Saccharomyces cerevisiae S288C: one gene and its partners. Changing the gene in region 1 together with any one later gene gives a genetic interaction. Each region holds a gene or a part of one and is shown in the gene's direction. Other genes may lie near its edges. The genes, in order: POG1, YNL194C, SEN2 and SHH3.

Evidence for each region.
Region 2: mutations in POG1 (region 1) and YNL194C together harm fitness more than expected from each alone (negative genetic interaction), as found in Saccharomyces cerevisiae (one large-scale study listed by BioGRID).
Region 3: mutations in POG1 (region 1) and SEN2 together harm fitness more than expected from each alone (negative genetic interaction), as found in Saccharomyces cerevisiae (one large-scale study listed by BioGRID).
Region 4: mutations in POG1 (region 1) and SHH3 together harm fitness more than expected from each alone (negative genetic interaction), as found in Saccharomyces cerevisiae (one large-scale study listed by BioGRID).

Annotation. Positions count from the first base shown.
Region 1 is NC_001141.2:126,783-135,097, forward strand, and holds POG1 (Pog1p), read left to right. Parts: upstream 1-3,827; coding exon 3,828-4,883; downstream 4,884-8,315. Other genes in the region: AYR1 (acylglycerone-phosphate reductase), read left to right, coding at 1-315; putative glucosidase SIM1, read left to right, coding at 1,369-2,799; QDR2 (cation transporter), read left to right, coding at 5,462-7,090; QDR1 (multidrug transporter), read left to right, coding at 7,635-8,315. UniProt on the Saccharomyces cerevisiae protein: Transcriptional activator which promotes cell cycle recovery with CLN2, after pheromone induced G1 arrest, probably inhibiting the ability of STE20 to activate the pheromone response pathway.
Region 2 is NC_001146.8:267,251-275,495, reverse strand, and holds YNL194C (uncharacterized protein), read left to right. Parts: upstream 1-1,880; coding exon 1,881-2,786; downstream 2,787-8,245. Other genes in the region: YNL193W (uncharacterized protein), read right to left, coding at 1-1,128; YNL195C (uncharacterized protein), read left to right, coding at 3,188-3,973; SLZ1 (Slz1p), read left to right, coding at 4,325-5,221; mRNA-binding protein WHI3, read left to right, coding at 5,903-7,888. UniProt on the Saccharomyces cerevisiae protein: Involved in sporulation and affects the sphingolipid composition of the plasma membrane.
Region 3 is NC_001144.5:344,846-353,301, reverse strand, and holds SEN2 (tRNA splicing endonuclease subunit SEN2), read left to right. Parts: upstream 1-5,121; coding exon 5,122-6,255; downstream 6,256-8,456. Other genes in the region: REA1 (AAA family ATPase midasin), read left to right, coding at 1-4,296; LCL2 (Lcl2p), read right to left, coding at 6,322-6,717; DNA replication initiation factor CDC45, read left to right, coding at 7,361-8,456. UniProt on the Saccharomyces cerevisiae protein: Constitutes one of the two catalytic subunit of the tRNA-splicing endonuclease complex, a complex responsible for identification and cleavage of the splice sites in pre-tRNA. It cleaves pre-tRNA at the 5'- and 3'-splice sites to release the intron.
Region 4 is NC_001145.3:501,644-509,654, reverse strand, and holds SHH3 (protein SHH3), read left to right. Parts: upstream 1-6,920; coding exon 6,921-7,511; downstream 7,512-8,011. Other genes in the region: bifunctional phosphoribosylaminoimidazolecarboxamide formyltransferase/IMP cyclohydrolase ADE17, read left to right, coding at 375-2,153; putative ubiquitin-protein ligase ASI1, read right to left, coding at 2,448-4,322; kinetochore-associated Ndc80 complex subunit SPC24, read left to right, coding at 7,764-8,011. UniProt on the Saccharomyces cerevisiae protein: Homolog of SDH3, but seems not to be a stoichiometric subunit of either the succinate dehydrogenase (SDH) complex or the mitochondrial inner membrane translocase TIM22 complex.

The DNA of each region.
Region 1 (8,315 bases):
ATCGCTGATAAAAGGCCCTTGCCTGAAACCTCAATATACAACTTCCCTGAAGGTAGGGAAGCTTTTAATTCAAGAAAAACCATGGCTAAGGACAATAAGCCCATGCCAGCTGATGCGTACGCAAAGCAACTGGTTAAAGATATCTTGAGCACTAGTGACCCTGTAGATGTTTATAGAGGAACGTTCGCCAACATCATGCGTTTTGTCATGATATTTGTTCCTTACTGGCTATTGGAAAAAGGACTTTCCAAAAAATTTAAATTGGACAAAGTTAATAATGCTTTGAAGTCGAAACAGAAGAATAAGGACGATTAGTGTTTCACCATCGTCAATAGCTACCTATATTTATATACAAGATTCCGTATAGTTTGTACACCACGTCAGGACATCAATAGCTAATAATCGTTCTAATGCTAATGTTCAACTGCTCTTTAAGTATTGTTTACGTCTCGTCGTACCAGTATGCCAAATTCCTGTCACTTCACTCATTCTCTTTGCTCTTACCGTTTGAAACGCGCTGGGACGGAATTCGCTCATTTCGCATCGTGCTTTGTTGTTTTTTTTTTTTCAAAATTGCCATTGTTTATTTATAAACTACATGAAATTATTCTGTATTTATCTTCGCATTCCCTCTCTTACTTCAAAAGTGAGAACAGCATATTCAAATATATATATCTACTCAGTTGAATAAGACACTATAGCAAGACCATTTGAACTGAAAGAAACAGTTTCTTTGCTCCCCTCTCGAATTCCAACTATTTACAGTCCTTCCTTTATAAAAATTAACTAGCGAGCAAGAAAACATTTGTTTAGTGCTACCCAACTACTTACATTCCTTTAAAAACCACAATATTTAAGTTAACCTGAGCTTTATTTTTAGTAAGTTATTTACCACAATTTTTCTCATACACCTTTACAATCCGTATTGCCATGAATACCAAGGCTTGCTCAGCTTCTGCAGCAGTTCAACCCTTTCCAATACCGCCAATGCGTCCTCAAAACGTTAGTTTAGTCGTGCTCAACCGCTATTTTTGGTTTTATCTTCGTTTCTTTCTCCTGAACGACATTCGTCACGAAAATTGCGGCGGAAAATTTCCTGATGCGGACACTTTTTCCCGATCCGGACATGCCTTTTTTTGGCGTTTCGCGTCAGTCAATAGAAGTTTCAGATCTACATTAGGAAGAACCAGAAAATAGCCATTAATGCTTTCAGCATAGCACAGCATAGCAGCTGTGTATATCTTAAATAAGATGTAGACTGGTTTGCATTTGGAAAGGTTTTGTGTAAGAAAAGCAATACTTGAGGTAAAACAAGAGAAAAAAAAACACTTTACTAACTAATATCCAATCCTTTATTTTTTTGCAGAAATGAAATTCTCAACTGCCGTTACTACGTTGATTAGTTCTGGTGCCATCGTGTCTGCTTTACCACACGTGGATGTTCACCAAGAAGATGCCCACCAACATAAGAGGGCCGTTGCGTACAAATACGTTTACGAAACTGTTGTTGTCGATTCTGATGGCCACACTGTAACTCCTGCTGCTTCAGAAGTCGCTACTGCTGCTACCTCTGCTATCATTACAACATCTGTGTTGGCTCCAACCTCCTCCGCAGCCGCTGCGGATAGCTCCGCTTCCATTGCTGTTTCATCTGCTGCCTTAGCCAAGAATGAGAAAATCTCTGATGCCGCTGCATCTGCCACTGCCTCAACATCTCAAGGGGCATCCTCCTCCTCCTCCTCCTCCTCGGCAACTTCTACCCTAGAAAGCAGCTCTGTTTCTTCATCTAGTGAAGAAGCTGCTCCAACATCTACTGTCGTGTCAACTTCTTCCGCAACCCAATCTAGTGCTTCTTCTGCCACTAAATCTAGTACTTCTTCCACTTCACCATCTACTTCTACTTCTACTTCCACTTCTTCTACTTCCTCTTCCTCTTCCTCCTCCTCCTCCTCTTCTTCTTCTTCTTCTGGCAGTGGTAGTATCTACGGTGATTTGGCCGACTTTTCAGGCCCAAGTGAGAAATTCCAAGACGGCACTATTCCATGTGACAAATTCCCATCTGGTCAAGGTGTCATTTCTATTGACTGGATTGGCGAGGGTGGATGGTCCGGTGTGGAAAACACCGACACTTCCACTGGCGGTTCATGCAAGGAGGGGTCCTACTGTTCCTACTCCTGCCAACCAGGTATGTCTAAGACCCAATGGCCATCCGATCAACCATCTGACGGTAGATCTGTCGGGGGTTTGTTGTGTAAAAATGGTTATTTGTACCGTTCTAACACTGACGCGGATTACTTATGTGAATGGGGTGTCGAGGCTGCCTATGTTGTTTCTAAACTAAGCAAGGGTGTCGCCATTTGCAGAACCGACTACCCGGGCACTGAAAACATGGTTATCCCAACCTATGTTGAAGGGGGTAGCTCTTTGCCATTGACCGTTGTTGACCAAGATACTTACTTTACTTGGGAAGGCAAAAAGACATCTGCTCAATACTACGTTAATAACGCCGGCGTCTCAGTTGAAGATGGGTGTATCTGGGGTACTTCTGGATCTGGTATTGGTAACTGGGCACCATTAAACTTTGGTGCTGGCTCCACTGGTGGAGTGACATACTTATCATTGATTCCTAACCCAAACAACAGCGACGCATTGAACTACAACGTCAAGATAGTTGCTGCTGATGATTCATCCAATGTCATCGGTGAATGTGTTTACGAAAATGGTGAGTTCTCTGGCGGTGCTGACGGGTGTACCGTCTCTGTTACTTCCGGTAAAGCTCATTTCGTCTTATACAATTAAGCTACGTGACTACTACTTTTCCTTTTTTTTTTCTTTTTTCGAACACATCTCACCCCCTATACCTCACACAATCACTATGGTCCCCTTTTCTTTTTACCGATATTTATACTGTCCACCTTTTTCTTTTCGTTAATGGCCTCAATGTTTCTGTACCATTATCCAAGTGAACTTGTTAGACGACCAAATATAGCCAAGATTCATTACGATTATCTTTAACTAGCAAGTAGTATTCTTGGATAGAGAGATTTTCAAAGACGGAACAATTTTAAATAGATTTACATAAGAAAACACATACTGTCCGATACCCATAAGAAATTTAAGAACTCTTTTCATCTTCAGCTTTCCGGCCTCCTTTTACTGTAGCCTGTTCCTAGACAGCTAAAAATAGTACATATGCAGCTCTGCAATAGTCTCAAAGGGGATATTGTGTAGGTTTACGAAATCATCACATTTCCGAATCAGGACATGAAGGCACAACTTTCCGCACGTAGTGTTTTCAGCCCCCAGCGCCTGTCGGCGCGAAGAGGATCTGCGGAGATGAGCTTTGCCCCGCCATTACCCGTAAAATATTACTGTTTTGGGCAATTGTGGATCAAAAAGGGAAAATGCGGATGGTGAAAAAAATTTTTGGAAATTTACTGCTTCAGATGGGGGAACTTTGTAAGTTCTTCCTTTTTTTTCGTAGAGGTTGGAAAATTCAGAGTGCTAAGAAATTAAAAGGTATGCACTGCCTATTCTCATAAAAGCAAAAGTGCACAAAAATAATAAGGTGTGAAGCAATAGTAGAAAAGACACTGGGAACCCAAGGTATCTTATTTTAACAGATAAGTAAAACTAAGATCAAATCGCGTACTGATATCACTTAAGGTTCGCGTATTTTAAAGGCTACGCAGAAGAGGAAATAAATTGCGTGCAATCCCTGCGCTTAACTCATACAAAAAGGCGCAAAACATTTCAAGAGTCCCACGATTAATTGCAGAAATTGAAAAAAAATAAGTAAAGACGAAAATCAAAGTGGATGCCATATTATGAAGCAGGAGCCACATAGACAATCCGAAGAAAAAGAGAAGCCGAAAGGACCAATGGCTGTTGAACGAGAGCAGCATACCTCATTATCTTCTGGTACAACCGTGACAGCTAGTACAGGAGACGAGAGTACCAACAGTAGACCAGTGGAATCATCGCAAACAGAAAAGTCTCTATCGCTTCGAATAAGAATATTAAAACAACTTGGGTTTGACGATATTCAAGAACTAAATGCATGCGACACTGGCCTAGTGGAGCAATTTTTAAACGTACGATTGATAAACGACACAAAAGAACTAGAAAAGATACGCGAGTCAAATCTTGCGAAACTAAACCAGATTATTGATAAATGTATGGAAAGTGATAAAATAAGTGATTCGACATTAAACAAGATTCTTGATATGTCCATGAATAGAGATACAAATAATGATAACAACAATCATCTTACGATACCGTCTCCGATAACGACAAAGAAACGCAAGATAAACGCCTCCGAACTTGCAAGTCCACGAGGCCATAGAAGATATAGATCTGATATACCTACAGTGTCAGAAGTTGAGACAGGGGTCGGATACCCTCAAATACACCAGCAACCAGGCGCATATACTTTACCTATGCCTGCAAATCAGTGGATGAGCAACCCGTATATGCAACCTCCGCAACCACAAGTGCAACAGATAATGCCGCAGTATTTATATCCACCAGGGATGGGACCACAAGCTCAGCTTCCTACAATGAGCTCAAACTCGGAGTCCCAGACACCAGTGATGAGCTCACAGTTTCTTTCCTTGAACCAGCATGGCCTTTACCAACAAAATATAGGTGCTCATCCGGTAATGAGTATGGGCCCACAGGCAAATATATACGGGCAGCAGCACCAGCTGCAACCTGGTCAGGAACGAGACCAGTCAAGAAAAAGTTTTAGTCATAGAAGGTCACAAAGTGCCAATATTTCCATGGCAAATTTTAGGTCGCCCATGCGAAATCCCCAGCCGGCTTCGTCCCAAAGGCCCGTCAATTTTCTCATTCATACACCAAAACATCCTCCTCCCACATGACGTGCAGTAATTTTCATTTTTATCACCTAATTTCTAAAACTATATCCCTTCCTAACCTTCATTCGATGCATCCGTCCACCTTACTTCAGTTCAAAAAAAAATATATATCCATATATATGCTACAGTGTTATTATTACGATTTCTTTGCCTTTACTCCTTATCTCATTTCAATCATGAATAAACAGGATATTGATAATATATGCTGTCATTTTGGATTCAGTCTGCTTAACTGTCTTGTCCACCCCCGGTGTTCTTACCCGTCTGAGCGGTCGTAAGACGGAGGTAATAATTTTTCAGCATCCTGACCTCCCCCCCAAATCTGTGCCTTTCACCACATTTTTCTCGAGAAAATGTGTCTTGGCTCAGATGATGTCGTATGAGCTACTGGACTTTTTTTTGTTGGCCCTGATGAAAATAGTAATGGCGGTTACAGAACAGATAAACGGCGTCACCATCTTTTCCTAGATAAAGAAGCAATCTCTAGATAATGGGGTATATAAATATACATTGTAAAAACGGCAAGTCAGTTGCTGGTCATTTTAGTAGAAACTCTGCTCTCAAACTTGAGTACTGCAACGATGGCAGGAGCAACATCAAGTATAATTCGGGAAAATGATTTTGAGGACGAGCTTGCGGAGAGTATGCAGTCATATAATAGAGAAACTGCAGACAAATTGGCTTTGACTAGGACCGAGAGTGTAAAGCCAGAACCGGAGATAACCGCTCCGCCTCACTCACGCTTTTCCCGTTCTTTCAAGACAGTTTTAATAGCTCAGTGCGCTTTCACTGGGTTTTTCTCCACAATAGCAGGTGCCATCTACTATCCAGTTCTGAGCGTTATAGAAAGAAAATTCGATATTGACGAGGAATTGGTGAATGTCACTGTTGTAGTATATTTTGTATTTCAGGGTCTTGCCCCCACATTCATGGGCGGGTTTGCCGATTCACTGGGCAGGAGACCGGTGGTGCTTGTCGCAATCGTCATTTATTTTGGTGCCTGCATCGGTCTTGCTTGTGCTCAAACGTATGCTCAGATCATTGTGCTAAGATGTCTACAAGCCGCCGGTATTTCACCCGTGATTGCGATTAACAGCGGAATAATGGGAGATGTTACTACTAGAGCCGAGCGCGGCGGGTACGTTGGATATGTTGCTGGATTTCAAGTTCTAGGTTCTGCGTTCGGAGCCCTTATCGGTGCCGGATTATCATCTAGATGGGGATGGAGAGCCATCTTTTGGTTCTTAGCAATTGGATCTGGCATTTGCTTCCTAGCCTCGTTTTTAATTTTGCCAGAAACAAAGAGGAACATATCCGGGAATGGTTCTGTCACCCCAAAATCATACTTAAATAGAGCTCCCATTCTTGTTTTGCCAACAGTAAGAAAATCATTGCATTTGGATAATCCAGATTACGAAACATTGGAACTGCCCACGCAACTAAATCTACTGGCGCCCTTCAAGATTTTGAAAGCTTATGAAATTTGTATACTTATGCTAGTCGCTGGATTACAATTTGCCATGTATACTACGCACCTTACGGCGTTATCCACAGCTTTGAGTAAACAATATCACTTGACTGTTGCAAAGGTAGGATTATGCTACCTTCCCTCCGGTATCTGCACATTATGTAGTATTGTCATTGCTGGAAGATATTTGAATTGGAATTACAGGCGCAGATTAAAATATTACCAAAATTGGTTGGGCAAGAAGAGATCAAAGCTTTTAGAAGAACACGACAACGACCTTAATTTGGTGCAACGTATCATAGAAAATGATCCCAAATACACCTTTAATATCTTCAAGGCGAGGTTGCAACCCGCATTTGTTACCTTGCTTTTAAGCAGTAGCGGATTTTGTGCGTACGGATGGTGCATTACTGTCAAAGCCCCTTTAGCGGCCGTTCTTTGCATGAGTGGATTTGCGTCGCTGTTTTCCAATTGCATTTTGACTTTTTCAACAACTCTAATAGTTGATCTTTTTCCCACGAAGACATCTACGGCTACGGGATGTTTAAACCTTTTCAGATGCATTCTATCTGCTGTGTTTATAGCTGCATTGAGTAAAATGGTAGAAAAAATGAAATTCGGAGGTGTTTTTACATTTTTGGGGGCTTTAACCTCCTCGTCATCGATCCTCTTATTTATTCTCTTGAGAAAAGGTAAAGAATTAGCCTTTAAGAGGAAAAAGCAAGAACTGGGAGTAAATTAAGAAGTAAAGCTTCTTGAATCAAAGGAAAATGTTCCTTTTGATCGCTCCACTACCGAGAAAGAGGAATTGGTGTGATAAGTCTTCTCAAATAGAAAGTAATAGTAAGTATTTTTTTTTTTTTAATCTGAACTCTGTAATAACTAAAATTAGAGTTAGCAGCACGATTCACTAACATAGAACGGCTAGTACTGAGTTTTGCCTTTATTATTCTCCGCCATTTTTTGCCAAGGCCGAAAATATGCTGGAGGTGCGAAATTCGGAGATTCGGGTTTCATGTTTCTGGCCCGGTTGTTAACGGACCCTTTATCTCATCTTCTGATCTTGGAGTTTCTTCTAGTTGATAAAACCATGGTGAAGCTGAAAGGTTTGAAGAATCTCTATCACTGTAGCAAAAAAATCTTCTTACAACAAAAAAAGTAAGCAAGCAATCAGCGTTCAAAGGAACTTATTCTTGCTTAAAAAAAGTGATAATCTCTTAGCACTACCATCTTCTATTAATAAAAAAATAACAGATAGCTCATGAAGAGACTTCTATAAGTAAATCATGACCAAACAACAAACTTCTGTAATGCGTAACGCATCTATAGCCAAGGAAGAACGTGAAGGATCTGATAATAATAATGTGGACAGATCCAGCTCAGATGCCATCAGTGACAACGACGCAGAAAGATCTAATTCTCATTCTGAAATAGATAACGAATCAAATTTTGATATGGTGCCTTATTCAAGGTTCAGCCATAAGCAAAAAATGCTTCTTGTCGTTCAGTGTGCCTTCACAGGCTTTTTTTCAACCGTGGCAGGGTCTATCTACTATCCAGTGCTTACTATTATTGAGAGGAAATTTAACATCACAGAAGAGTTAGCTAATGTCACTATTGTGGTTTATTTTATTTTCCAAGGGGTGGCTCCTTCAATTATGGGTGGTTTAGCTGATACATTTGGAAGGCGGCCTATTGTATTATGGGCAATCTTAGCCTACTTCTGTGCCTGCATCGGACTGGCATGTGCACATAATTACGCCCAAATCCTGGCTTTAAGGTGTTTACAGGCAGCAGGTATTTCTCCTGTTATTGCAATAAATAGCGGAATAATGGGAGATGTAACGACAAAAGTAGAGAGGGGTGGATATGTTGGATTGGTTGCAGGGTTCCAAGTTGTTGGAACTGCATTCGGTGCATTGATTGGTGCCGGATTATCCTCGAAATGGGGTTGGAGGGCAATTTTT
Region 2 (8,245 bases), on another chromosome or scaffold:
CAACGAAAGATCAATCTTACCCTGTACATCTTTTTCATCAAGCAGATCGGTAAAGGAGACGGTTTGCAGAACAAAATCTTGCAATGACTCGAAGGTTCCGGAGCTAATGATGTTCAAACCTTCAATTAAAGTCTTGGCTAAACCGATTTCCTTCAAATCTAATGGAATGGCGGCGGAAATGGAGTCTATAATGTCGCGTAGTTGTAAATAGAATTTATTGGTTGTATCTTCCAAGAAATTAATCTGAATAGGATTCAAGATTTTCGTTTCGACATTTTTTTCAATAGATATTTTCGACTCAATAACCAATTCCATCAAAGCATGGTTGAACTTTAAAGAGTTGGCGAGTACTTCGGTAAGTGAAGACGGAGTCACTTGTTCAGAAACGTCCATAACTTCTGCTGGAGGTTGTACAGGTCCATTGGTTCGGATACCACTTCCGTCCCTGGTAACTTGCATCGCGTCTTCATCCAAAGTATCTCTTTGCAATTCCGTATCTGTGTCATCGGAATCTTGTTCTGCATTTTCACTCCAGTTTTGTAGTTCTTGTAACAGATAATTAACCAGGTGTTGAAAGATTTCAATATACTTGTTTGTCAAAGTTAAAATGTCTGCACCTTCCATTGCAACGGTGGGCGAAACGGTGTCGTCTAGGGACTCTATGAGAGTCAAATAACATGTCAATAGATTGAATTGAAGATCCCAAGTTCTCTGTTCTGGGAAAGTCTCATAAACAATTTCAAACCGTTGGATAATCTGTGGCAGAGATAACACCAAATTGGAAAGATCAGGCATATCATCCATTTTCACGTATTGCAAGATATTAATGTAGCCGTTATTGGCCAGATAATCTGTATAAATTTGCAAAAAAAGCCTTGTTTCATTATAATAGATATTATATTTCCCTTCCTGCGTGGAATCTAAAGCAGTCAGACCATTTTCGTAGTGCTCTAGAGCCTTTAGATAGAACCGCAAACATTTCTTTATGTCCGATAGCAACCAACGGTCTGCTTGTTCTTCACAGTCGATCGCTGCCAGGTAGAAATCTTCTTGAGTAATCAGGGCTTTCTGCTCCTTTTTGTGTTTATTACTCTTACTGAAATGCTTGAAATTTTTCGGAGGTCCCATTACCTGGTTTACAATACTCTAGTTGTCTGCTTAAGAGGCGAAGCATTCAATGCGGTGTTTGTATACATAAACTTTTAGAACTCTCAAGAATCCGCATCAACGGAAAGCCAAGGCAAAAAAGAAAAAAAAGCAAATCAAATTCAAAATTACGTATGCAACTACGAAAATTTGGCTCCCAACATAATCTTAAGGGCCTTCGTCATCACTAACTGGTCCAAAAGAATATCGCAGATGCCGAAACTATCACCTTTTCATACGTTGAATTTTTGAGAAAATTAATCACTTACAAAGACTCCTCGAAATTACGGCAAGGACACCCCCTGAAGTGCACAGCCGCACAGCCGCACAAGTCGGATTTGGGAAGACGACAAAGAGGGGACTTCTAGAACAAAATTGCTCCCCAGCGTCTTTTAAGGGAGGGGGTTGCAATGCAAAAGCACCCTGTATATCATCAAATCTTGCATTACTACCCGCAGTTTGTACTATTTACAAGGACGTAAAAGTGGGATGAACGGATGGAAAGATGAGATCACTATTCCCTGTTTTCTGTCTCCGCTGTTATCCCCTGCTTTCGATATAAAAACATTAGCTAAATACCCTAACAACTTATATTATGTTAGAGATCCTATCTGTAATTCTTATCCGAAATTAGCCACTTTTCTAGGGTTTTCAAACAACCATAAACAATTACTTGTATTGCGATCACGATAAGCATTAAGTATAACCTCATATATTTCCGTTTCTAATAATCAATGTCCTACAAAAAGTTTGTGTACTTTATTAACCTTTTCTTTCTACTAGGGGCTACATTGTTGACTTTTTTTCTGATACTAGCAGGTGGCAGGACCACAGGAGTGTTGAAGAATTTTTATTGGTTTCAGGCATCCACTTCGGGCTTTAACTCGGCGCCCTCCGTAACCAGATGGTACAATTATAACTGGTGCGGCTGGGAAAGCCGCGGAATAGCAGTCAACTGCTCTTCTAAGATGGCAGCTCAGCCGTTTTCACCAAGGGACAACTTTGGCAGTTCCCCCCTCATGCCCTCAACTTTTTTAAACAACAGAAATGCCTACTATTATCTTTCAAGAGTGGGCTGGGCAATGCTTCTAATCGGGCTTTTCTTTTTGTTAATCACGTTAGTTTCGGTTATTGCCAGTTTAATCAGATACAATAGACGTACCGCCGCTCTGGCAACTGCAATGAGCTGGATCACGCTTTTCTTCATAACCCTATCCGCTTGTCTGTACACAGGATGTTACGCTAAGGCAGTAAAGGCGTTTCACCATGAGAATCGTGATGCTAGACTAGGTCCCAAGAATTTTGGGCTTATTTGGACCACAGTATTTTTGTTAATTGTAAACGCCATTTGCTGTACTATCATGGTGGCTACTCATAAAAGAAACGAGTACATCTATGACCGCAGTTTCGCTTCTACCAAGACAGTGGACTCACAAACTCCAACTCCAGTTCCAACAAATGGAGGAATACCTTCCTCGGTGCCTGTAACTGAGGTCCAACAATCTCAATCCCACCAGAATCATAGGTTCTTTAAGAAATTGAGAACGAAAAAGAGAACTGTGACTAGCGCAGGCGATGAACCAGACCGGGTTCAAGAGGAACGCGTCTATACTGAACAGAATGTTCCTGTTGTATCATAGGGTGCAAAGGAGGCTTTTTTTTCCCTTATTATTAAAGCTAGGATTACAAATAATAACAAACCTAATTGCAGCGATTAGCCTTCTCCTATTCTCTGTTGATACCAATTTTATTTATTACTAATATTTTGCACCGATATTCCACTAATCTTTTATGTTTCCCTAAATATAATATCTTTAATTCTCAACCTCTAATAATACTAATACTATACGTCAAACAATGTAATGATACCATCTAATAAAAAGAAATCGTATTTTAACTTCCTTTTAATGTATCATACACATCTTACTAACTCTTTTTCTTTTCTTTTCACTATTTCGACAGCAATGAATTAGACACAAACCAAGAGTCTTCTGCTACACAGCACGGCTTCGGCTACCATATTGACAAATCTTATGACAGGATGCTGGGTTTGGGCCAATCTGCTCAAGCATATGCAAGTGATGATGCTCTCAATATGAACCAGGCAAAGGATAAAACGTACAGCGTTCCAGGGTGTGGCAGGGCAAGCGACCTCAAATATCCTCATCGTGACGGACACTCTTCGTCTCACGAACAGCGCTCTGGAATTTTACCAACTGAATGCCCAGGCCCTACTTTAAACACCGGTGCCGGTAGCATCGGTATCCCGGGATGTGGCAAAGTCACAAATAGAGTGGTCAGTGACTATAACAAAAACGCTAGGTCTACGCTAGCCAATTTTGATAGTAGTAAAATGACCGAGGCAAGAATGAACAGCAAGAACGTGCCGATTGGTTGTCAAGACACCTCTGATCCGCACTTCAATGGGCCTATCGACCAACATGTTCCCGGTGCAGGTTCACCTCAAAGTCAACCTCATCACATCGACGCGTGGAACAGCGTTTCTTCTCGCCGTGCCGATAATAACAACCAAGACATGATGGACCCCCAAACGGCTTCCTCAGACAGGTACAATGAGAAAATGATGAGAGAAGAAAATAGCGGCGTCTCTGCTTCTTCTTACACCACTAAAGTGCAGGGATATCCCGCAAGTATTCCATCATTCAATCAGGAAACTGAGGAAAAGGAAACCTACGCCTACGGTGTGGGTGATCGGCACAATGTCCCAAGAAACCAAATTATGGATGAGACTAATCCTTCGGCTAACGTTCTAAACGCTACTGATCATAGTATTTCGCACCCTGAGAATAAGGTCTTGCATAAGTAGTTTTTGTTTTTCCTACAGTTTTTATTTATAACCAACCTTATACTTTTATATCCTTGTCTACATATTATTGTCATAACGAATTTTTTATTGGTTAAATGCAGCTATTGCGTTCTCTTTATTGCATAAATATATTCTATTACAATATGGGAGGGCATTATCAGCCTCCATGTGCTTGCGTGCTGTCAAAGAAGGAGTGCGGGGATGACAATATGAATAGCCGCCGAAATTATGCCCGGCTGCAGTTGACCGTATAAATAACAGTGCTTCAATGAAAGGACACAAAAAGCAAGATCGTCCCATTTTCTACCTTAATCAGTATAGTAAAAATCAAAAACATAATATATTACTGTTATGATGAATAAAGTAGATCAAATCATCGGTTACAAAAAGTACGAAGTGAAACTACCAAAAGATCGACAAGTAAAGAAAAATAAATCAAAAGGTGGAAATGTTGATCAAATAGATACTAAGAGGGAAAAGGATAAAATGAGAGCTTTTGGTGAAGAAAGGAAAAAGTTCTTAGATAAAATGGCTAAAAACAAAAAAAAAAATACAAGTAGAAAAGATAGAGAGAAGCCAAAAGAAGTAGAAAAAGAAAACTACAAAAGAGAAGACAAAAGGCTAAAAGAACAGAAAAAATTATCACTGGCAAAAGAATTTCGTTTCAAAGAACCGAATTCAGAAGCCATTAATCAGAACACAGCAGCTGAAAATGGTAAACCTAAACCACAGACTGGACTAGATTTTGACATAGACCATCAAACCGTGTCCAAGATCATGATAGATCAGGCTATTCAAACATCTAGTCCTCTTAATGTCCAACTCACGGAACTTTTCAATGATAACGTCCTCGACGTCTCGAAAGATAGTCAGTTTGTCCTTCAAGACATGGAGTTCACCTCCTGGGAACGACGCTGGTCAAACTGCAGCACGACCAGTAATGCGACTACGGTCTCATCAGTTCCTGATCCCAAATATAATATCAACTACAACGACATAACCTCCTTCAATTCAGTAGCGCTAATTACCGAAGATCTTAACATATCTGCATCATCTAATGGTCTGCATGAGAGAGGTAAAAAGCTACTGCAGCAAGAGATGGAATACTCAAACAAGGTCAAAAATGTCACCATCGGGCTTGAAAGATTGTGTATGGATGAAAAACCAGTCCCAGATGCAGGAATAACCATGCAACAAGCGTCGCGCTGGTCAGAATTCCCCACTTGTTGCGATCAAGCTGCTATTTAGCTTTTCTAATTTAAAAAATTTATAAACTTCTTATAGTATTTCATCTTTATATCAAATACTATTAGCAAAATAAAAGGAAAGGAAAGGGAAAGGAACTTCTTTAGACTGCTTCGCACTGATTCTATCGCCATCCTTCTTCATGTTCTCAACTATTGGATATCTGCTCTATTTAGAACAATCGTTATTGTTACCCGCGTTAAATGGGGTAACTGATTGCTGCTTTTTTTTCTCGTTGTTTTGGACCTTTTCGGACATGAGAGGTCAAAAGAAAAAACAAACACGACCAAGTAAGCCGGAATAAACAAGTATAACCACCTGATTGAATTGCCTTCTTTAAACAAGCACAGACCTCCAAAAAGAAAAGGCTTTTGAAACGCTGCTCACGCACAGTTGTTTATTCCGTCCACATATTTTACGTGTCAGTTTCCTTTCTGTCTTCTCTTTATTCAATCAATTAGCATTAAAGAGAAAATAAGTCGTGTACTTTGAAAACCTTCTGTTCCTGTTTTCTTCCCGTATTTTTCATTTGCTTCACCAGCTTTTTCTCAACTGATCATATCATTTCAAGTTAAAAGTCTTTGTCATCACTTTTCTGTGAGTTGCAAATATTTGTAAGCGTCACTTACCTAGAGCAGCCTTTATCGATCAATATTTCAGAGGGAAAAACCTGTATCTCTTAGCATGCAAAGTTCAGTTTATTTTGACCAAACAGGGTCATTTGCGTCCAGTAGCGACAACGTTGTGTCTAGTACCACCAACACACACAACATTTCTCCCAGTCATCGTTCCAGTTTGAATCTGAACACTACTTCTCATCCCCACGAAGCGTCGGGTAGAGGAAGCGCAAGTGGGGAGTTGTATTTGAATGACACAAACTCACCCTTAGCGATATCTTCTATGCTAAACACACTTGCCCTTGGAAGTATGCCCCAAGACATTGCAAGCAGCAACATTAGCAATCACGATAACAACATTAAGGGGAGCTACAGCCTAAAATTGTCAAATGTAGCCAAGGATATTACTCTCAGAGAATGCTATGCAATCTTCGCTCTTGCTGAAGGTGTGAAAAGTATAGAATTACAGAAAAAAAACTCTTCATCAAGCATCACTTCTGCCTCATTAGAAGACGAGAATGATATTTTTATCATTGCCAGATTTGAGTTATTGAATCTAGCTATTAATTATGCCGTTATTTTGAATTCGAAAAATGAACTCTTTGGACCCAGTTTTCCCAATAAAACAACCGTTGAAATAATAGATGACACAACAAAAAACTTGGTTTCATTCCCATCATCTGCCATTTTCAATGACACCTCAAGATTGAATAAATCGAACTCGGGAATGAAAAGGCCAAGTCTGTTATCACAAAGATCCAGGTTTTCATTCAGCGATCCATTTTCCAATGATTCTCCTTTAAGCCAACAGCAATCTCAACAGCAGCAGCAACAGCCACAACAGCCACAACAACACTCTACGCAAAAACATTCACCACAACAATGTAATCAACAACAAGTGAATTCTTCAATACCGTTATCTTCTCAAGGCCAGGTTATTGGGTTACATTCTAACCATTCACATCAAGATTTGTCTGTGGAATCAACAATTCAAACATCTGATATTGGCAAATCTTTCCTTTTGAGAGATAACACTGAAATTAATGAAAAGATATGGGGCACAAGCGGTATACCTTCCAGCATCAACGGTTACATGAGCACTCCCCAACCTTCTACGCCAACTTTAGAATGGGGAAATACTTCTGCATCCCAACATGGTTCTTCGTTCTTTTTACCCTCTGCAGCATCGACAGCCATTGCACCTACGAATAGCAACACCAGTGCCAATGCAAACGCCAGCTCCAACAATGGAGCCAGCAATAATGGTGCTAACCAGGCACTCTCTGCCAGCTCGCAACAACCAATGATGCAAATTGGTAACACGATTAACACTTCCCTAACCTCTTCAAATTCATTGCCTCCATACGGTTTAATGTCTTCTCAATCGCAGCACATTTCAAATATGGTAAACACCTCTGATATGAACATTACACCTCAAAAACAGAACAGATTTATGCAACAACCCCAACCAGAGCATATGTATCCTGTGAATCAAAGTAACACTCCTCAAAAAGTACCGCCCGCAAGATTAAGTTCAAGTAGAAATTCACACAAGAATAACTCTACTACCTCATTATCCTCAAATATTACTGGATCTGCCTCGATTTCTCAGGCTGATTTGTCACTACTAGCCAGAATTCCACCTCCTGCCAACCCTGCTGATCAAAATCCACCTTGTAATACCCTTTATGTAGGGAATTTACCCTCCGACGCTACTGAGCAAGAACTAAGACAGCTATTTTCTGGTCAAGAAGGCTTCAGAAGACTATCATTCAGGAATAAGAATACCACATCTAATGGTCATAGTCACGGACCGATGTGCTTCGTTGAATTCGATGATGTCAGTTTTGCAACCAGAGCGTTAGCTGAATTGTATGGTAGACAGTTACCTCGCTCCACTGTGAGCAGTAAGGGAGGTATCAGATTAAGCTTTTCAAAAAACCCACTGGGTGTTAGGGGCCCAAACAGCAGAAGAGGAGGCAGTGGTAACCCAAATCCTAATGTAAATATGCTTTCCAGTTACAATTCTAATGTTGGTCATATAAAAAACTAAAAAAATGGTTCCGCAAAAACCTGATTTCCTTGCATGTATCACATTATATGCATTGCTTTTCATCTTTCCCCCACTATAATAAGAATAATATTTTCTGTCGCATTTTTTCTTTTTCTTTTATTATTTGTTATAATAATATTTTCTAAACCGACTAATAATAAGAATAACATCGATAATACTTTATCTCTTCAATTACGTTAAATTATCTTTTTACTATTACATTACAACGTGCATATAACAGAAATTTTTTCTTTTTCTGTCTAACATTTGAATTGTACTATGAATTAAACCCGCCATCTTTTTTCTTAACTACCATTTTGCGAACTCCTATACCGCTTCTGCAACAACAAGAACTTT
Region 3 (8,456 bases), on another chromosome or scaffold:
AAATTCTATTATCAGTTCAAACCATTAATTGATGAGCGGATTACGAATGGAAAAAAGAGTCTGGAAAAAGAAATTGACGATATAATTCTTTTAGCCAGTTGGAAAGATGTTAACGTTGATGCCCTGAAACAAAGTTCTCGTAAGTCTCATAACAACCTTTACAAAATTGTCAGAAAATACCGTGATTTGCTAAATGGGGATGCGAAAACCATTATTGAGGCCGGTCTTTTGTATTCCAACGAAAATAAACTAAAACTCCCTACTTTAAAACAACATTTTTACGAAGACCCCAACTTAGAGGCTTCGAAAAATTTGGTGAAAGAAATTTCTACTTGGAGTATGAGAGCTGCGCCATTAAGGAATATTGACACGGTAGCAAGTAACATGGACTCCTACTTGGAAAAGATATCATCACAGGAATTCCCTAACTTCGCAGATTTAGCATCGGACTTTTATGCTGAAGCTGAAAGGTTACGTAAGGAAACCCCTAATGTATATACAAAGGAGAACAAAAAGAGGTTGGCATACTTGAAGACTCAAAAAAGTAAACTTTTAGGTGATGCATTGAAAGAATTGAGAAGAATCGGTTTAAAAGTCAATTTTAGGGAAGACATTCAAAAAGTTCAATCTTCTACAACAACTATTTTGGCAAACATTGCCCCTTTCAATAATGAATATTTAAATTCGTCAGACGCATTCTTTTTCAAAATCCTTGACCTTTTACCCAAGCTGAGAAGCGCTGCATCGAATCCAAGTGATGATATCCCTGTTGCTGCTATAGAAAGAGGTATGGCACTCGCACAGAGTTTGATGTTTTCCCTGATTACAGTTCGTCACCCTCTATCAGAGTTCACGAATGATTACTGTAAGATTAATGGTATGATGTTAGACCTAGAACACTTTACTTGCTTAAAGGGCGATATTGTTCATTCTTCATTAAAAGCGAATGTAGATAATGTCAGATTGTTTGAAAAGTGGCTGCCTTCTTTGTTAGACTATGCCGCACAGACCTTGTCTGTTATTTCGAAATACTCAGCAACTTCAGAACAACAAAAGATCTTGTTAGATGCAAAATCGACCTTATCTTCGTTTTTCGTACACTTCAATTCCAGTCGAATTTTTGATTCTTCATTTATCGAGTCATATTCTAGATTTGAGTTATTCATTAATGAATTATTGAAGAAGCTTGAAAATGCAAAGGAGACAGGGAACGCTTTCGTTTTTGATATCATTATAGAGTGGATCAAAGCAAATAAAGGGGGTCCTATTAAAAAGGAACAGAAGAGAGGCCCTTCGGTGGAAGATGTTGAACAGGCTTTCCGCCGTACTTTCACATCTATTATATTATCTTTCCAGAAGGTAATTGGAGATGGAATTGAATCTATATCCGAAACTGATGATAACTGGTTATCAGCTAGCTTCAAGAAAGTTATGGTAAACGTTAAACTATTACGATCCAGTGTTGTTTCTAAAAATATAGAGACAGCATTATCCTTGTTGAAGGACTTTGATTTTACCACTACTGAATCAATTTACGTTAAATCAGTTATATCCTTTACACTACCGGTAATCACACGTTATTACAACGCAATGACCGTGGTTCTTGAAAGATCTAGAATCTACTACACGAACACAAGTCGTGGTATGTACATTCTATCGACGATATTGCATAGCTTAGCCAAAAATGGGTTCTGTTCTCCGCAGCCACCATCTGAAGAAGTTGACGACAAAAACTTGCAAGAGGGTACAGGCTTGGGAGACGGTGAAGGTGCTCAAAATAACAATAAAGACGTCGAACAAGACGAAGATTTGACTGAGGATGCACAAAACGAAAACAAAGAACAACAAGATAAAGATGAGAGGGATGACGAGAATGAAGATGATGCAGTTGAGATGGAGGGCGATATGGCTGGTGAATTGGAAGATTTGTCTAATGGTGAAGAAAATGATGATGAAGATACTGATAGCGAAGAAGAAGAATTAGATGAAGAAATTGATGACCTGAATGAAGATGACCCCAACGCTATTGATGATAAAATGTGGGATGATAAGGCAAGTGATAATTCAAAAGAAAAAGATACAGACCAGAATTTAGATGGAAAAAATCAAGAGGAAGATGTACAAGCTGCTGAAAATGACGAACAACAGCGGGATAACAAGGAAGGAGGGGATGAGGACCCAAATGCACCTGAAGATGGCGATGAGGAAATTGAAAACGATGAAAATGCAGAAGAGGAAAACGACGTTGGTGAACAGGAGGACGAAGTTAAAGATGAAGAAGGCGAGGATTTGGAGGCTAATGTTCCTGAAATCGAAACCCTAGACCTTCCTGAAGATATGAATTTAGATTCAGAGCATGAAGAATCAGACGAAGATGTTGATATGTCAGATGGAATGCCTGATGACCTAAACAAGGAAGAGGTTGGAAACGAAGACGAAGAAGTCAAACAAGAATCCGGTATCGAAAGTGATAATGAAAACGACGAACCTGGTCCTGAGGAAGATGCCGGCGAGACAGAAACAGCTCTTGACGAAGAAGAAGGTGCTGAAGAGGATGTGGATATGACTAATGATGAGGGAAAGGAAGACGAAGAAAATGGCCCAGAAGAGCAAGCCATGTCTGATGAAGAAGAGTTAAAGCAAGATGCTGCTATGGAAGAAAACAAAGAGAAAGGAGGTGAGCAGAATACAGAAGGTCTTGATGGCGTTGAGGAAAAGGCTGATACTGAAGACATCGATCAAGAAGCTGCCGTTCAACAAGATTCTGGATCCAAAGGTGCTGGTGCTGATGCTACGGACACACAAGAACAGGACGATGTTGGAGGTTCAGGAACGACTCAGAATACCTATGAAGAAGATCAAGAAGATGTGACAAAGAATAATGAAGAATCACGCGAAGAGGCTACGGCTGCTTTAAAGCAACTAGGTGATAGCATGAAAGAATATCATAGACGTCGTCAAGATATAAAAGAAGCACAAACTAATGGCGAAGAGGACGAAAATTTGGAAAAAAACAATGAACGTCCCGATGAATTTGAACATGTTGAGGGTGCAAATACTGAAACAGATACGCAAGCTTTAGGTTCTGCAACACAGGATCAATTACAAACCATTGATGAAGACATGGCCATTGATGATGATAGGGAGGAGCAAGAAGTGGACCAGAAAGAGTTAGTAGAAGACGCCGATGATGAAAAAATGGATATTGATGAAGAAGAGATGCTATCTGATATCGACGCGCATGACGCTAACAATGACGTTGACAGCAAAAAGTCAGGATTCATCGGTAAAAGAAAGAGTGAGGAAGATTTTGAGAACGAACTTTCAAATGAACACTTCTCGGCTGATCAAGAGGATGACAGTGAAATACAATCTTTAATTGAAAACATTGAGGATAATCCACCTGATGCAAGTGCTAGTTTGACACCGGAAAGATCGTTAGAAGAATCCCGTGAATTGTGGCATAAAAGTGAAATTTCGACCGCCGATTTAGTATCACGTCTTGGAGAACAATTAAGACTAATCTTGGAACCTACCTTGGCTACAAAGCTGAAGGGTGATTACAAAACAGGTAAGAGACTGAATATGAAACGGATCATTCCATATATTGCCTCACAATTCCGTAAAGATAAAATCTGGTTGAGAAGAACTAAACCAAGCAAACGTCAGTATCAAATAATGATTGCGCTTGATGATTCTAAGTCTATGAGCGAATCTAAATGCGTTAAACTCGCTTTTGATAGTTTATGCTTGGTCTCCAAGACGTTAACTCAGCTAGAGGCTGGAGGGTTATCTATTGTCAAATTCGGTGAAAATATTAAAGAAGTTCACTCATTTGACCAACAATTTAGTAACGAATCTGGCGCAAGAGCTTTTCAATGGTTTGGTTTCCAAGAAACTAAAACAGACGTTAAGAAACTTGTGGCTGAATCTACTAAAATTTTTGAACGTGCTCGCGCTATGGTACATAATGACCAATGGCAACTAGAAATTGTAATCTCTGATGGTATTTGCGAAGACCATGAAACAATACAAAAACTGGTCCGCCGTGCTAGAGAAAACAAAATTATGCTGGTTTTTGTCATCATAGATGGTATTACTTCTAATGAATCCATCTTAGACATGAGCCAAGTGAACTACATTCCAGATCAGTATGGCAATCCGCAATTAAAGATTACCAAATACTTGGACACATTTCCTTTTGAATTTTATGTTGTTGTACACGATATAAGCGAACTACCCGAAATGCTTTCACTGATTTTGCGTCAATACTTTACAGACCTGGCATCCAGCTAAGTATATCGTGAAAACCAAGAAGAGGAGGTTTACTACACGAATCAAAGGAACAAAAAAATCATGGAACTGAAAAAAAAAAAAAAAAACTACTGTAAAAAACTACTGTAAACTATAAATTATTAATTAGACTGAACGTATACCTATATAAACCTGATATAAAAATGATTCAAGTTATTAGTCCTTTGCATTTTCTGTTAGCAATCCTTTGTCAATTAGCCCTAAGAAATATTATTCCCATATGGGTAACCAACTCTCTTTTTTTTTTTTTTTGAAGGGATCAATACTTCAGTCAGATATTTAAAGAGAAAAATTTTCTTCAAGATGCAAGTTTCCCATTCAGTTCTATAGGAAGTTAAAACAAAAGAGCTGTTTGAGAGCTCGTAGGCTTTGGTTGTTAAGAGAACGGACTAAATAACACCAGGAGGTGTGTCTAGACTTAGTTGAACGAGTTTTTTCTCGTGCTATTATATCTGTTCTTAATACTTCCACTTTATTTTAATGATGATAGCATGATTTATGTTGCTCGAAGTTAATCGATGTGAGCACAATGATTTCTCAAGACTACAACGGTATCTGAATTTTATTTCTTGTCAAAAATGTTTTATAGAAGCCACTCTTGCTATAGATTTATATTGCCACACATAACTTTTTCACGTAAATTTGAAAGAGCTATATTAGCTGGTGCTTTCACTAACATCTCTTTGCTCTAGTATTTCATTTCGGTGCATAAAACATTTGAACTTCCATCGAAATTCAATATGCTAAAACGTTTCATTGTAACACGACGCTGAAAAGACAATAAGTACGAAGGACTCAAGAAGGAGCATGTCTAAAGGGAGGGTCAATCAGAAGCGTTACAAGTATCCTCTTCCAATTCACCCCGTAGATGACCTTCCAGAGTTAATCCTTCATAATCCGTTATCTTGGCTATATTGGGCATACCGCTATTACAAGAGTACGAACGCACTGAACGATAAAGTACATGTAGATTTTATAGGAGATACCACTCTTCACATCACGGTTCAAGATGACAAGCAAATGCTATATCTTTGGAATAATGGATTTTTTGGCACTGGTCAATTTAGCAGGAGTGAGCCTACATGGAAAGCTAGAACAGAGGCCAGACTGGGTCTCAATGATACTCCCCTCCACAATCGGGGAGGAACAAAGAGTAATACTGAAACGGAGATGACTTTAGAGAAGGTCACACAACAGAGGAGATTACAAAGATTAGAGTTCAAGAAAGAACGTGCGAAGTTAGAAAGAGAATTACTAGAATTAAGAAAAAAAGGTGGTCATATCGATGAGGAAAACATCCTCCTTGAGAAACAACGAGAATCATTAAGAAAATTTAAACTAAAACAAACAGAAGACGTGGGCATCGTTGCACAACAGCAAGACATTTCCGAATCAAATTTAAGAGATGAAGACAACAATCTTCTTGATGAGAACGGTGATCTTTTGCCACTAGAGTCACTAGAACTAATGCCAGTGGAAGCTATGTTTTTAACTTTTGCACTTCCTGTTCTTGACATATCTCCCGCGTGCCTGGCAGGGAAACTGTTTCAATTCGATGCCAAATATAAAGATATTCACTCCTTTGTCAGATCATACGTTATATACCATCACTACAGATCACACGGTTGGTGCGTAAGATCTGGTATAAAATTCGGCTGCGATTATTTATTATATAAGAGAGGGCCACCATTTCAACACGCTGAATTTTGTGTTATGGGTCTTGACCACGACGTCTCTAAAGATTATACGTGGTATTCTAGCATAGCCCGTGTTGTGGGCGGCGCAAAGAAGACGTTTGTGTTATGCTACGTGGAGAGACTAATCTCGGAACAGGAGGCGATAGCACTATGGAAATCAAACAACTTTACTAAATTGTTCAATAGTTTTCAAGTTGGTGAAGTATTGTATAAGAGATGGGTTCCCGGAAGAAATAGAGACTAGAATATCAATGAGAAGATAAATCCTTCGTATGTATATATGTATGTGTATGTATTTTTTATACAGATTTCAATGGTTTTTGTAAGCATCTGATACCCATCCACAATCCCTAAACCCCTTGTTCTTTGCTTTGGGGCCCTTGACAGGGTCATCATATATTGCTCTAAACTTTTCATTGTGTGTGGCTGGTTTGGATATGCAAACAAATTTATTATCAGGAAGGACACATTTCAACTGAGATTTAGGGAAGGGACAAGGACAGTCTTTCTGCTGTGCAACGCACGTTAGGGTGTCCGGACACAAATACCCATCACAAGGGTTATTTAAAACTTGATCTTCATATGATTGTTGCTGTTGCTGTTGCTGTTGCTGATGATGACCGAAATTGAAGAAGGCATTCACTCCAGTGCTGCCAAAAATAAACAATGCAAAGATGAGAACGATACTCCAGCGACTTTGACTCATACTACAGTAAAATTTGGTCGTTTTTTGCCTGGCAAACCATGCCTATTTTTCGTCATTAAAGGTCTTCTGAGCTTTCATCAAAATTATCTCTATAATTATAAAGGACAGCTCAGAGCCACACCCAAACATCTGCAAAGGTAAAGGCCATCTTTCATCTCACATTGCCTAACAAGAAAGTCACATTGCAATTGTTTCGAGAAGAAAACATTAATTCAATTACGTGGTTCCCATGCGTCTGTGTTAAGCGTCAATTTATCATTTGACGAACTCGTTGCAACCACAAACAAAGCAAGGGCCGCATTTATCAAAGGAAAACCAACCAAAAGCATAAATAAACGAGATTTTTATTATGAAAAAGCCATGCGAATCCTACTAGAATAAATTCAAAGTGAAGACATTTAGTCAATTCGATCTTCTCTCTCTTGCTTTAACTAGTCGTAAAACCTAATAAGTTTCATTCACGACGCGTATTTTTTTTTCAACATATCATCTAACGCGTTTTAAGAAATTTCAGTAAATAATGAAGCTGTAGTAATGCCAACAATCCATTGTGGCTACTTTATACAACGCACTATAGAGCAATAAAAGTGTAGCAATAAACACTAGAGAGAAGGCACATAATAACAAGAATATACTCTCGCACATGTATTATGGAATCAGCCAGTTTAGCGAAGCCTACAACAAAATCTTAAGGAATTCATCGTCTCATTCATCATGTCAATTGGTCATTTTCGTTTCTTGTCTTAACATCGATGCGCTGTGTGCGACGAAGATGTTGTCACTATTATTCAAAAAACAATTGGTACAATCTCAAATAGTACCGATATTTGGGTACTCTGAATTACGACGCCACTATTCTCAATTGGATGACAATATAAATAGTCTGCTATTAGTAGGGTTTGGAGGCGTTATTGATCTGGAGGCTTTCTTAGAAATCGATCCCCAAGAGTATGTTATCGATACAGATGAAAAGTCGGGGGAACAAAGTTTCAGGAGAGACATCTACGTGTTGGATGCTCATAGACCGTGGAATCTCGACAATATATTTGGATCACAAATCATCCAATGTTTTGACGACGGTACGGTGGATGACACATTAGGCGAACAAAAAGAAGCATACTATAAATTGCTTGAACTGGACGAGGAGAGTGGTGACGATGAGCTCTCAGGTGACGAGAACGATAATAATGGGGGTGACGATGAGGCAACTGATGCCGATGAAGTCACAGACGAGGACGAAGAAGACGAAGATGAGACAATATCTAATAAAAGAGGTAATTCTTCAATAGGACCGAATGATCTCTCAAAAAGAAAGCAACGAAAGAAGCAAATCCATGAATATGAAGGTGTTTTGGAGGAATACTATTCTCAAGGCACAACAGTGGTTAACTCGATATCTGCACAAATCTATTCATTATTGTCTGCTATCGGAGAAACAAATCTTTCAAACCTGTGGTTGAATATACTTGGTACGACCTCGTTAGATATAGCATATGCTCAAGTTTACAATCGATTATACCCCTTATTGCAAGATGAAGTGAAGCGTCTCACACCAAGCAGTAGAAACTCAGTAAAGACCCCTGATACATTGACGTTAAACATCCAACCGGATTACTACCTTTTCTTACTGAGGCATTCTTCATTGTACGACAGTTTTTATTATTCTAACTATGTCAATGCCAAACTATCCCTATGGAATGAAAATGGGAAAAAGAGATTGCATAAGATGTTTGCTAGAA
Region 4 (8,011 bases), on another chromosome or scaffold:
TTCGACTTATTTTTTTTTTATTATTCTTCGCTCTTTGGCAGCATACGCAATTTGAATTTGCAGTTTTTGACTCTTTTTTCCTTAGCGGAACGAACAATATTAATCATGCCAACTAAGTCATTGCAGAAGTCAACTTATCATTTATAAAGAAGATCCTACCCTACAATGTGTGTACCCTGATGTGCCCAGAAATGAATTGACTCCTCTCATAACTTGTTAATATTCGGATGTGCATATCACGTTCGGATCTATGTATATAAATGTACGCTCGTTTTAACCTTTAGTGTAGTACCTAAAATCTTTCTTACCAGCAACTAATAGCCCTTGAAGTAGTTTTGCTAGCTTGGACATCAAAGCACATATCACCATCAAATATGGCCAATTACACAAAAACCGCAATCCTATCCGTCTATGACAAGACAGGTCTACTTGATTTAGCCAGAGGCCTCATCGAGAAGAACGTTCGTATTCTCGCCTCCGGTGGTACTGCTCGTATGATTCGTGACGCTGGTTTTCCAATCGAAGACGTTTCTGCTATCACACATGCCCCAGAAATGTTGGGAGGTAGAGTGAAAACTTTACATCCTGCCGTTCATGGTGGTATCCTTGCTAGGGACATCGATAGCGATGAGAAAGACTTGAAGGAACAGCACATTGAAAAAGTCGATTATGTCGTTTGTAACCTATACCCATTCAAAGAAACTGTTGCTAAGGTGGGTGTGACTATTCCAGAAGCAGTAGAAGAAATTGATATTGGTGGTGTTACTCTATTAAGAGCAGCTGCTAAGAACCATGCTAGAGTCACTATTTTATCTGATCCAAAGGACTACTCCGAATTTTTAAGTGAATTATCCAGTAATGGTGAAATCTCTCAAGATTTGAGAAACAGATTGGCATTAAAGGCTTTCGAACACACTGCCGATTATGATGCTGCAATTTCAGATTTCTTCAGGAAACAATACTCTGAAGGTCAAGCTCAAATTACTCTACGTTATGGTGCCAATCCACACCAAAAGCCGGCTCAAGCTTACGTCAGTCAACAAGACAGTTTACCTTTCAAAGTCCTATGTGGTTCACCAGGTTACATTAATTTGTTGGATGCTCTAAATTCCTGGCCCCTGGTTAAGGAATTATCCGCCTCGTTGAATTTACCAGCAGCAGCATCGTTCAAGCATGTATCACCAGCTGGTGCCGCTGTGGGTATCCCATTGTCTGATGTTGAAAAGCAAGTTTATTTTGTTGCCGACATTGAAAACTTATCTCCCCTGGCATGTGCCTATGCTAGGGCCCGTGGTGCTGATAGAATGTCTTCCTTTGGTGATTGGATTGCTCTTTCCAACATAGTTGATGTTCCAACAGCTAAGATCATATCTAGAGAAGTTTCTGATGGTGTTATTGCCCCAGGTTATGAGCCTGAGGCGTTGGCCATTCTATCCAAGAAGAAGGGAGGTAAGTACTGCATATTACAAATTGATCCAAACTATGTTCCAGAAGCTGTCGAAAGAAGACAAGTATACGGTGTGACTTTGGAACAAAAGAGAAACGATGCCATAATCAATCAATCAACTTTCAAAGAAATTGTTTCTCAAAATAAAAATCTCACTGAACAAGCCATAATTGATTTAACGGTTGCCACCATTGCTATTAAATATACTCAATCTAATTCCGTATGTTATGCTAGAAATGGTATGGTTGTCGGATTGGGTGCAGGTCAACAATCTAGAATCCATTGTACAAGATTAGCTGGTGATAAGGCTGATAATTGGTGGTTCAGACAACACCCTAGAGTTTTGGAGATTAAATGGGCTAAAGGCGTCAAGAGACCAGAAAAATCTAATGCTATCGATTTATTCGTAACCGGCCAAATTCCAACAGAAGAACCAGAATTGTCTGAATACCAATCGAAGTTCGAGGAGATTCCAAAACCATTTACTCCAGAAGAAAGAAAGGAATGGTTGAGTAAATTAACCAACGTTTCTTTGTCATCGGATGCATTTTTCCCATTCCCAGACAATGTTTACAGAGCAGTTAAATCCGGTGTCAAATACATTGCCGCTCCATCTGGTTCTGTCATGGACAAGGTTGTATTTTCAGCTGCCGATTCATTCGATTTGGTTTACGTAGAGAACCCAATCCGTTTGTTCCACCATTAGATGGCATGAGTTCAGAGTCAATATGCCATAAATACAGAAATGACGGCAAATCGATGTATAGTTTATTCTTTCCTCCTCTAATGATATAATCGCCACTGACACTTTTATATATATACTAATGATACGATATGTTATAAGTACAATTTTAATTCGAACATTTCCCAAAGAAAAAAAACTTGATTTATTATTATGATGTTTATATGTGCAACACAGAAAGCTCTAGCTATAGTAATTAATGCTAGAGCTCCCAAACGAAAAACCTCTTTTAGATACCATGCAAAAGTTCTTAAACTATTATTTACTATCTGAAACAGGATGAACCTTACAGTACCCATGAACTTTACTCCTACAACATACGCAAGTGCTGAACCCACGTAAACCCAAAGAAATTCTGCAATCCTCGCAAATGGCAAAACATCGGCAGGGCCATAATACTGTATTTCTTTCATTGACTTTGCATACCGCGCAAGATAGATCAAAATCACTTTCTGTACCAAAAGTCTCATCTACTTCACTTAACTTTGTATCTAAGATAGACGCCCTTGTCAAAGTTTTATCTGACAGTAATTTTTGTTGAAGGATACGGCTAGTTGACATGATCCAATTATAATCAGTATGAACTTCATTATCTTCGGAAGAAAATAAATCCAGTAGGGCATCCCGAGTTTCGTTGAAAATCAGTGAATCTTCTTCCAAGTTTTCTTCATCAGAATCCCCCAGTGACTCAACTTCAGAAGGCTCGTAATCTTCAGAATACTCATCATCTGATGTGTTCAATAGTTCAAGTTCAATATCTTCTTTGTGGCCGGCACTATTATTGAGAGAGTTCGTTTTAGTTATCTTTAACATTTTTGATGGGTCGTTGTCGGGGATGTCCTCGTCCTTGTTATCTCTGAAGCCAAAGAATACTTGGCCTACAAGCTTCTTCATGATCCATATTATAGATTTTGGAAACATTAAAAAAAATCTTTGCTTTAATATTGATGAATTTTTCTTTGGGAAGCTGATGGAAGTGTTCTCTTTATACGGTTTAGAAAGTTCATTTAAATAACCGCTAATAAAAAATTTCTCATTAACATTATCCGGGATGTTAATAGCAGGAAATTCTCTTCGTATACCCTTTTCCATTAGTTCAGTTCCTGAGCATAATAATAGTGCGAATTTAGTGGCCATAGCAGAAAAATCTTCTTCTCCCGTGTAATTTAAGTATTTTTTCCAATTTCTACTGAGAGGGTAAAACTGTAAAAGTTCGCAAGAATTACGTGATTTTCCAAATGGATCCCATCTAATTAAGCATGATAATTTAAAAATCAGTAATGATAAGCAAATAATAGACACTGAAAACAGTTTTGGAAAGTGCCTAAATTTCACCGAAAATGGAAGGCTTTTCCAGCCGCCCTGCTTAACTCTTATCCCTAAGTAACAAATATGACAGAGGTTCATAATAGTACTAAAAAGTAGACGATAATTTCTAAGCCTGAAAATCTCCACCAAATGGATCAATATCCTGCTCAAAATAGCCATAGAACAGTCTATAATGTAATCAGGAGAATCTAAAAATTTAGTATTATTATTAGTCATTGTATAAAACTGAATCGAAAGTTCAAACAATGAATAGTCAGTGCCCTCCAAAGGGCTGGAATTCCGCATGATGGTAAATATGGTTTCGACACAATAAGAGTAAGCGAAAGCGTAGAATATATTCAGTAAAAATTTTTCTTGGGCAAAAGCAGGGTCGCCTAATATTTTGAAATCCTTACCCAAGGTCAGCGGACCTAAGGATACCATTGCTAATACAACTACTGCTGATACATGGAAAACATTACTCAACCATAACGGTAAAGTACGTCTGGAACCGTTGTTAAGGACGGCGTAAAATACAACGAACCGGTTCAGGACAATGGCGATTACAAAGCAAAATATGGCGTACGGGCTGAAAAAAAACCCTATTGTATCAAAAACAGACCTTAGAGTTGGGGGAATTTCTTCAGATTTAACGGTTTGCTCGTACTGCAAGTTCACAGCCCCAATAAAGGATAATCCAAGTCTATAAGGAAAGTTGATAACATTTGCGAAAGTGGAGTTACCTGAGATTACGGCTTGTGATGTTTGATTCAAATAGCTAAATGAATTTATGAACACATTTTCTGAAGAAGTGGAAGAGTTCATATTCTTAGCATAGTTTCTTTGTAAAAAGAAGAAAAAAACCCAGATAAAATTAAGAAAAATACCCCAAAGTGCAAATTGTCTATAAAATATAAAAGTAAGCAGTGATTATCTTCTTGAGTTAAAATTGTTGTGTGGTGAAAGAGTAATTTTAGTACTTCCTTCTATTTTTCTGTTCAAAACAATATAGTTTTCGTAATTGTGTTTTATTGTATTTTCCAATGTTTTTCATATTGCTTACTCAACTGACTTCAAAGTTTGATTCGTAGCTTCTCAATATTTCAACATAAAGGGGCGCCCTCAAAGGAATACGCGAGAAAAAAATAATGGTTGCTAAGAGATTCGAACTCTTGCATCTTACGATACCTGAGTATTCCCACAGTTAACTGCGGTCAAGATATTTCTTGAATCAGGCGCCTTAGACCGCTCGGCCAAACAACCACTTATCTGTTGAAAAGGTGTGACTATAGCAACTATAAGTTGTTATGAGTTGAATAGAATTTAAACTCATTATGGGATAAGCTGCTCGTCTATGCATTGGTAAAAGCACCTCGTTAATATGTAAAGGTCAAAAGGTCATATCAGCGAATAATAAATTTGGATCTTCCTATACTATATAAGAGAGGTTCACTGAACGCAGTCCGATCGGTTTATTATTTGAGATATAGGTGAATTTTGAGATAATTGTTGGGATTCCATTGTTGATAAAAGATTATAATATTAGGTAAACAGAATATACTAAAAGTTCTCCACGAGGACATAGGAATCCTCAAAATGGAATGTATATTTTTACATACTAATATTACGATTATCCCTCTTTCTATTTTATATGTTTCATTATCCTATCATATTATCAATCTTTGCATTTCAGCTTCTTCTAACTTTGATGACAGCTTCTCATAATTTATATCATCATCTAACACCGTCTATGATAATATATTGATAATATAACTACTAGTTGATAGACGGTAGTGGATTTTTATTCCAACATTATTAATCGTGACTAATATAACAAGTTCTCTGGTGGTTACCATATATTTAATGTAAAGACTCGCATGACACATATATATGACTACCACATAAATGTTTAATTTGAAAAAACTTCAGCTCTACTAAGGTACCTGTTGAAAATATCGAAATCCACAAGGACAATAATTTTGCTTGGTAATATTATTATTTTTCTTCCATTGTTTATGTTGATAATTAGAGGTTAAAAATTAGTATTAATGAAGAAGTGAGTACTGATCTTCTTATACTAAATAAGAGAGGTATATAAAACACACGCCGATTGGTCATATTAATTATGACCAATATAATAGTGATTCCGGTAGTTACTATACATTGATGTGACGACTCATATTCCTCATATATGTACCTACCATAACATGTTCAACTAATAGGTCTTTAACACAGCTTCAGTATTGTCTGAGCTTCTCGTTTAACATTCCTTCTGCAATAGGCGCAATCACACTTAAACGTATACGAGTTGTACATTAATATACGATGTAAGCATTAGATTGTTACCATAGCAACTCATGTCACTATTAATTACTCTCGTTCCAACAGTTTATTATATTATCAACCCTGTTTTTCATCTTCCATGGAATTTGGTAACTGCTCCTCACCGATTTATGTCATCTTGCTATTATATGGTAATATACCAAATGTGAAGGTATGCAATTGATATTTTTAGATTTTACCTTTTGGCAAAAAATCAGCACATTAGCAATAAGAAACCGTTTTATCGTTTTGTTCATTTTAATGACTTCACGGAAATTACTAGTTATTAATAGTATTTTACTCGTGAAAGATAATAATCCTTCCAATGATGATTACACTCAAGATACCCTTAAGATTTTTTGGCGTCCATAGAAAACTTCACTATTTATAGAAAATCCTGAGTGCTTCTTTCTTTGTTTATATACTCTGTCATCCACTATTCTACGTGAATATTGTGCGAATATTTTGATAATTGTGAACTCCATTGTTGATCAAAGGCTATAATGTTGTGTATACAGAATATAATAGAAGTTCCTCTCGAAGATATAAGAGTCCTCATAATGGAATCGGTATTTCTACATAATATCACTACTTTTTTTTTGTCCTTCCGCTTTATATGTTTCGTTATCCTATCACATTATCAAATGACTTTGTGCCACTGTGTTTTGACAAAATTACTGTAATATAATCAATAGTATTTACATGTTTGTACCAGAAGTACTTGCATCGCATCCAGTTCTCATGCAATATAGTTGTATACCATGTCGTTGAAAGGAACCAGAGTAAACACTTCTACCAGTATTTCTTTACGGTTCGGATCAAAACCATCACTCATTCGGTCATTCTTACCGTACGATAAACCAAATTACAAGGAAAAGTATCCCTAATTAGAGATCACTGCATCCGTAATAGTTTTTTTTCTATTTTGGACTTTTGTAAAAAAGGGATTAGGGATACGTTGCTCATAAAAAAATTGACGAAGATTTTAGATAATGGCAAATAAAAATGAAATAGTATCAATATACCGAAAAATTAATCACACTCAATGCGACTGTGATAGCTGATAAGTGGAGCTCAGAAATATTCAGAAGCGTAAGAATAATGAAAGCAACCATTCAAAGAGTAACATCTGTATTTGGAGTTCCCCGAGCATCTGTATTCGTGCCAAGAATCAGCACACCATTTATTTTGCATAATTATATCTCTAATGGCAGAATGGACCTTTTTTCCAAAGAATTCCACAATGGCCGCGTATCCAAATCTGATCTTTGGTCAAGCAACAAGGAAGAGGAGCTCTTAGTATCTCAAAGGAAAAAAAGACCGATCTCTCCTCATTTAACTGTTTACGAACCTGAAATGAGCTGGTATCTTTCCTCTTTACATCGTATATCTGGCGTTTTACTGGCTCTTGGATTCTATGCTTTCACAATTACTTTGGGTGTGACGACAATAATGGGAATGGATACGACTTTTCAGGATCTAAACAAGTGGTATCACGAAAAGATGCCTAAGTGGTCCCAATGGGTGGCCAAAGGCTCTGCAGCATATCTGTTTGCATTCCATTTTGGTAACGGTATAAGGCATCTCATCTGGGATATGGGCTACGAATTGACCAACCGTGGGGTTATAAAAACCGGATCAATCGTTTTAGCCGGCACACTCGTCTTAGGAACGTATTTACTGGCTCAGTAAATGAAATGTAAGGAATGTACTTAGTGTTTTTTGCTACATAGCTTTTATGATACTCTTTATAATGTTATATTCAATAAATTTGATTCAACGTAGAAGGACCCGCGAAAGCAGAAGAGGTTACCCGACCTTGACAGGCGCGTCAAAAGTAAATGTAAACAATGAAGTCTTCAAAATAACTTACGTAGGGACTTTGCTATAGATGAAAGAAGTAACGAGGGAAGAGCAAGTGTAAAGGGAAGGAACGCAAGAGCCATGTCACAAAAGGATAACCTACTCGACAATCCGGTTGAATTTTTAAAAGAGGTCAGAGAAAGTTTTGATATTCAGCAAGATGTTGATGCCATGAAAAGAATCCGACACGATCTTGATGTTATAAAAGAGGAAAGCGAAGCAAGAATTAGTAAAGAGCATTCAAAGGTTTCTGAGTCGAACAAGAAATTGAATGCGGAAAGAATAAATGTTGCTAAATTGGAGGGAGACTTAGAATATACTAACGAAGA